Linked DNA regions of Schizosaccharomyces pombe. The protein of the gene in region 2 interacts with the protein of the main gene of each other region in a pairwise test. Each region holds a gene or a part of one and is shown on either strand. Other genes may lie near its edges.

Region 1 (2,851 bases), 1.3 Mb from region 2:
AAACTCGATTGTACGAAGTACCCAAGAATCGTAGCTATCGTTGCAGGAACAGGAATTGCTCCTATATATCAATTAGCTCAGTCTGTTAAATCCCCAGTCGATATTGTATACTGCTCAAGGCCTGGTCAGCCCCCTTTGCTAAAAGAAGAATTGGAAAAGGAATGCCCAAACGTAAGGGTGAAGTCCGTCCAAAATCGTTTGGTAAACATTCATGACATTTTGGATTGGGATAATGTTACAGTTCCTTTAAAGGATACCCTTTGCATTGTCTGCGGTAGCCAGAAGTTTGTTTCTACAATTGCCGGACCGAAGGCTGATTATGGCGCAAGACAAGGAGAAGTCAAAGGACTTTTATCAAACAATCCGTTTGGGAAAGTTTGGAAGCTTTAGTTTAGAAATTTTTGGCTTAAGATTTTGGGTTGCACGATCTTTGGACAATTGTGCATAATACAAAAACGATTTTTTTGTTTATCTTCAAATAATTTATTTTTACCGATTTGGAAATAAATTTATACAAATAAGGGAACTCTTAAACGTTACGTGTTATCAATGAAATGGAGCGGTTTTCTTAGGTAATGGAGAGAAAATAAAAAAAATAGTATTTAAAAAGTTTCTAAGTGTATAAATTTTTATCCATTAAATCTAATTGTTATTGAGGGTTTATGCATCTGCTGCTAAGCAGGTATAGTATGTCAAAAAGAAAGCCCATACAAGCAAAATATCTTTAAATAATTAATTGCATAAAATGTGAACGAGGGAAAGGTTCATTTTCAACTCGCATATAAACAAGCATTAATGCAAAAACTCATCAACTGCTTCACTAGTAATATCTTCAGAATCTCTAGCTTCAAATACTTTGTGCACCTGCGACACATCTTGAAACCAGACTTTAGCAGAAGCATAAATCATAGATAAGTCATTTGGGGTAGCACTTGGTCTCCAGTATATCATAAACAATGGAGTACTAAGTCGACCATCTGTGGTTTTGGTAGGATAGGAAACAAGGATAAATCTAGGATTTGTTTCCGAGAGTTCATCTGCGACCTCTTCAATACTCTGTAAATCCATGATTTCTCCATCGGGAACAATCTCCTTAGTAGCTTTATCAACCTTGAGAATGAAAGCATACATAACTGATTTCTTCAACCGCAAACGAAATCGATCAATTTCTTTCATCGTGGTATCCGAAATGGTGAACATACGAGCCTCTGATGACATCTTTCTTGTTAGTTTATAATATTTATGTAAAACCACAGCAATAGCCAATTAAGGAAATTTAATTTCGAGGGTGGTGCTTTTGTTGGGTTGAATTAATACCGTTCGTGCAGAATCCTAAAAGATATTTAAATTCATGCTAGGAGTTAAAAATTTATTTTTGAGTTTTGATAGATAATTATTGATTTTTTAAATACAAATTATTCATCAATTTTATTATATTCAAAAAGTCTATATCCACGTATGTGATATCTTTGAAGTTCGTAAATTGGCAAATTTAAGCATTGTGTTATATTTACAACTTGATAAATAAAAAAAAAAAAAAAAAAAAAAAAAAGAGGATACTTAAGGATAAATATTATATAATACCTAAGATTGAACGAACTAATGTTTTTTTTTAATATTCCTAAGAATATCCTGTTAATGCAATCACTTTTTTAATAACATTCATAAAGTCTTTGGTCATCGGGACTAGCTAATAATACTTTACGACGAAGCGATAAAAATGTATTACTTTAGCAGCTCGAAGTCGAGCGGTAATAAATCAAACACTTAAATTTAAGTACTTATGTAAACTTTACTCTATAATAGGCTTAGGTGTAAAAGTTTATTTTCTTGCAAAAAGCACATACTACACCGCACCATGCTATGTCTGGAGTAGTAAATCTGGGTTTCCCACTTCACCCACTTGGCATTTAGAAAAAGTCCCAAAAACCATCAACATCGTTGTTCGATAATCTTAACGTCTTCCAAAATCCAAACTTAAAATATATAGGATAATTTGTACAGCAATTTGAAGCCCTTTTACTTTTGCTTTATGCTGACAATATTTTAAAAACGAGAAGCCGAGGCAGTGTCGCCATTTACTACAAAGCTGGTATTGCCCTTGTAAGAAATGACTTATGTTACTTATTTGCACAAGCCTTCTTCTATAAGAAACGCCGTGTTTTGTAAATTTGTCAATGCATCCTCCTGGAACGTAATAGTGGCTAAAGTAAATTGTTTGGAAGTCTATAGCTATGAAAATAATCGATTATGTTTAATAACTTCTGCTAATATTTTTGCGAAAATTGTGAATGTAAAAGCTTTTAAGCCTGTTTCATCCCCGACAGATCATATAATCGTTGCAACAGATTCCTTTCGTTATTTTACACTTTTTTGGGATGCCAATGATAACACTGTTTCTAATGGAATAAAGATACAGGATTGCAGTGAAAGGTCTCTTCGGGAAAGTCAATCTGGACCTTTGCTGTTAGTGGATCCATTTCAACGGGTTATTTGTTTACATGTATATCAGGGTTTACTGACTATTATCCCAATTTTTAAGTCAAAAAAACGATTTATGACTTCTCATAACAATCCTTCATTGCATGATAATTTTAGTGTGCGGATTCAAGAGTTAAATGTTGTCGACATAGCCATGCTTTATAACTCATCCCGTCCATCTTTAGCAGTTCTCTACAAGGATAGCAAGTCGATTGTGCATCTTTCTACGTACAAAATAAACGTTCGTGAACAAGAAATCGACGAGGATGATGTTGTTTGTCATGACATTGAGGAAGGTAAATTGATACCTAGTGAGAATGGTGGTGTTTTTGTGTTCGGGGAGATGTATGTATACTATATAAGTAAAGAT
Region 2 (4,260 bases):
TTCCCCGATTTATAGTTTGGAACGCCTTTGGACGCTGGTTTGCAAGAGCACCTGCATCGTCCGAAGATACGGATAGTGATGGACAGATGGAAGATGAAGAGAAAAGTGATAGTGTCCATAAATCTAGCTTCTCCAGTCCTTCGAAGAAAGAGGCTTCCATAAAAGCCGGAAAGCGACGAATGAAAAGACGAGCAAATCGAATTCCACTTTCTAAAAACACGAATAGAGAAAATTAAAGTTACTGAGTCAAATTTATATTGTTAGAGTGTCTTTAGGTTTTTATAGTCAAGTGATTGATCACGTTGTTTCTAAGTTAATAGTCTATTGTTTAGTTTTCTTCGACAATTCATCATCATAATATAGTTATCATTTCCCCTTGGCTGCTTGAATACAGTCTCTACAAATGTTTATATACTTGGAAGTCATATGTATATCTGCATTTACTTTAGGAAAAGACTTATCATCTTGATAAGCCATTGCATATAGACCAAGTGCAGAATGTAAAACATCAGGAAACTCACCTGGTGTTTTAGAAAATCCGCCCAAAGCATGTTGAGCATGCAATAATAAATATTTTTCCAACTCACCCCCATCGATAAAAGGCAGAGCATCAAGGAGTTTTAATGAACTCAAAACCCAATAAGCATAACAGGTGTCAACGTCTTTATTCGTCCTTCCGTTTAATCCTCCAGATGATAATTGTCTAGAAGCTAACCATCTGATAAGGCGTTCTACTTTAGGCACACAATCCATTAAGTTATATGATTGATTAGAAGTATTCAAAGAGGAATTTGGAATCATTTTCAATATTAAAGACCATGATGCTAACGCGCAAAATGTAGCTCCAGCATGGGCTTCGCCGTATGGTAACAAAGAAAATCCGCCTTCATAGCGTTGACAGCTTTTAATATATTGGATAGAACATAAAGGGTCAGACAGAGAGAAATCAAGAAGCGAAGCAATAGTCGTAGCCATATATAACTGTCGCATGTCTTGGTCCGAACATGATGGCACAGCAATACTTCTAAAATGACCCTGCGAAGTTTTGCACAACTCCACAAAATTCTTAATTAAATCGCGGTCGATACGAGAAAGATTATCGCCAAGAAATAAAAGGCAACAAATTGAAAACACAGTCCCAGCTAATTGCGGCTCCTGTTCGAATGAGATGGGTTGAATGCCAGTTCTATACGCCTGAAAACCGGAGTATTTGATTCCTTTAGATTCTTTCGTTACATAGTTTTTGTAGATCCACTCGATCCAACTTTTTTTATCGTCATCATCTATGGTGTTCAATGCATTTAGCAAGTCTAATCCTAATAAACAAAAGAATGCTAACACTGTTCTTTCGCAATCGTGTTCTTCGTATGGAGTAGGAAATAGTATAAGATGTCTCTTAAAGAAAGCAATATGTTTAGCTCTTGTTAATTCCATTGGACCATAAATAGATGCGCCGATAGCAGAATTCTATAGATGTCAATAGAATAGTAAGTCTTAAAAATCTATCGAACAAAATTGGTACAAGAACGATAATTATTTTAAGCTTAAAAACAAAAAAACGCGACAAGGTATTTTGATTTATAGTAATGAGCAGATATATTTCTGTAATGATTTGTTCATGAAAAGAAATTCGGTGAATTAGCTCGGTAAACTTCGGAAATTTCTTGTATGGATCACCGGACTTTTTGTGGAGTATGCTCGGAGAATAAAATTAAGTCACCGGCAGTATACCATATAGGTGTTTGAAGATACAGAAATTTACGAACCGTTGGTACCCTTAGAGAAAGCATGTCTGATCCTTTCTTTACACGTCCAGAGCATAGAAAGAGGAAAGCTAGGAGTGCTACTTCAAAAAGAGAAAAAGAGAATCAAAAATTGGAGAGGAATGGACCCGCTAATGAAGATTTAGCATCTATATCATCAGAATCCGAATTCAATGGCTTTGAGGACGAAATTGATGAGGAAAATGAAGATACTTATGAGACTGCAGCAGAAAAAAGGCTTCGATTAGCAAGGGAGTATCTAGACGAGGTCAAGAACGAACTGGTCGAAGATGGAGGTTTCGATGCGAAAGAAGTGGATCGTGAATTGCTTGCAAGTCGATTGAAGGAGGACGTATTAGAAAAGAAGGGACAAATGTATTTAGACTATACTTCTAAAATTAATCCTGATGTAAAAATCGAAACAGCTCAGCTGCGAGGCCGTCACATGCGTCCGCTAGTTGGAGTGGTAGCATACGAAAATTTTGTTTATAGTGCTGATAAATCGGGTTTGATCCAAAAATGGGAAGCTTTGCAAGAAAAAGATACTGAAAATAGGGAAAATGACGATCATGAAATTGGGAAAGCTATAAAATTGCACTTCAGACCGATCAAATTCTCTCGCAGCCGAAGAGGAGAGAACGATCATGTAAAAGAAATCACTTGCCTAGCAATTAGCAACGATGGTCGTTGGATCGTTACTGGAGGTTTGGACCATCGAATTGTCATTCGTGATAGTGTGACACTTGAGCCTCAACATTGTTGGAAACATCATCGGGACGCAGTAATGGGATTAGCCATGCGAAGAGGAACCAATGAAATGTTTAGTTGTTCCGCTGATCGATCCATCAAGGTATGGTCTTTGGATCAAATGTCTTATATTGAAACGCTATTTGGACATCAGGATGTTATTTTTGGAGTGGATGCATTAGCTCGGGAAAGATGTGTCAGTGTAGGTGGTAGAGATCGGACATCGCGTCTGTGGAAAATTGTTGAGGAGTCTCAACTGGTATTTCGTAGTGGAGGTACTTCTATGAAAGCAACTGCAGGCTATATGGAAGGTAGTGTGGATTGTGTGGCAATGATTGATGAAGACCATTTCGTTACTGGAAGCGATAATGGAGTTATTGCACTTTGGTCTGTTCAACGTAAGAAGCCTCTTTTTACATACCCACTTGCTCATGGACTAGATCCCATTCTAGCTCCTGGGCGTCATTCCGCTGAGACGTCTCCAGATCCTGTCACTATACCTCCTCAACCTCGATGGATCACTAGTTTGGCTGCTATCCCATACTCCAATCTATTTGCTTCTGGTTCTTGGGACGGAAACATCCGTTTATGGAAGATAGCGGAAGGCCTTCGTTCTTTTGAACCTTTAACAATCGCTACTCCGTTGTCAGTTTATGGCTGCATCAATTCCCTTTCACTTTCTTTGCAAGGAAAAGGTAAACAATCAGAGGTAAGAGTATTCGCTGCTTGCGGAAGAGAAACTCGCGTTGGTCGTTGGAAAACCTTGCGGGGCATCCCTAATTCAGGCTTCGTGTTTAATATCCCTTTAACGGTTATTCCTTCTGTTACAGATGGTGACGAGATTGATGAGTAGTAAAGTTGCAAAATAAAAGAACTTAGCTTTTCATTATTTTTCATATAAGCGGTTATGAAGCAGATGTGATGGATCTCTTATTACTGTGTTTATCTTTTCCTGGTGTACAAAAAATTTTAATTCATGGAACGGAATTTTGGGTTGGATTTAATTTAAAAGTTTAGATAAAATACGGATTTATTAGGAAAAAATATACAAAAATGAAATTGATTATTAAAACGAACAATGATGAACCATGTCTTTCAATTCGGGCTTTTCTATTTGGGTTCTTTAAATGTTTTATAAATTGAAAAAAGAAAAAGAAGGATGAAATAGTTTGTAATAAACGAATGAACTTTCTTCTTCATCAAATGCCGTGCATTGAAATGGTGCATAATGAAATTATTGAAGCAAAATGAAAATATCAAAATCGTTAAACCGAAGTTTTGTTTATGAGTATTGTTAAAATCCTATTAAGTTTTACTAGTTCTTGCTATCACTTTGTTTACCTCTTGCCCCAAATTGTCCTCAATATTACTTGTCTTAATAATGGTAATCAAAAGCCCTTTTTTTAGTTTTTAGTATCTTATAGATTCTTTAATGGAGTATAGACCTTTTAAAAAAGTCGTTCTTTGGAATTCTCCTAGACTCGTCAAAAATGAAATACATGTATCTTTGCATGAAAAGTTGATGGACTTAGCAAAAAGCGCATATTGGCATAATACTCTATTTTTTAATTTGGAATGAATTTTCTTTAACAAATGACAGAACCTAGAATCGTAAATATTTAAGATTCCTAGGTTGTTTCCACTTTATAACTTCGACTGTACTTTCTTGACAAACCAAAAAACGGTTTTTTAATATACTAATATCACTAAATGGTACTTATTTGCTCCCGCAACTACGGTTATCTTTGGT

What was found. Proteins that work in one complex are often made in the same cells at the same time.
Region 1: the proteins of rrp9 (region 2) and gmf1 interact in a two-hybrid assay, tested with the Schizosaccharomyces pombe proteins (one large-scale study listed by BioGRID).

What each region holds. Positions count from the first base shown.
Region 1 is NC_003424.3:2,023,702-2,026,552, reverse strand, and holds gmf1 (actin regulatory protein gmf1), read right to left. Parts: upstream 1,303-2,851; 5' UTR 1,219-1,302; coding exon 793-1,218; 3' UTR 501-792; downstream 1-500. Other genes in the region: cytochrome c-heme-linkage protein Cyc2, read left to right, coding at 1-390; protein Ddb1, read left to right, coding at 2,111-2,851.
Region 2 is NC_003424.3:3,327,574-3,331,833, forward strand, and holds rrp9 (U3 snoRNP-associated protein Rrp9), read left to right. Parts: upstream 1-1,767; 5' UTR 1,768-1,788; coding exon 1,789-3,363; 3' UTR 3,364-3,643; downstream 3,644-4,260. Other genes in the region: DNAJ domain-containing protein Erj5, read left to right, coding at 1-236; geranylgeranyltransferase type 1 beta subunit Cwg2, read right to left, coding at 367-1,434.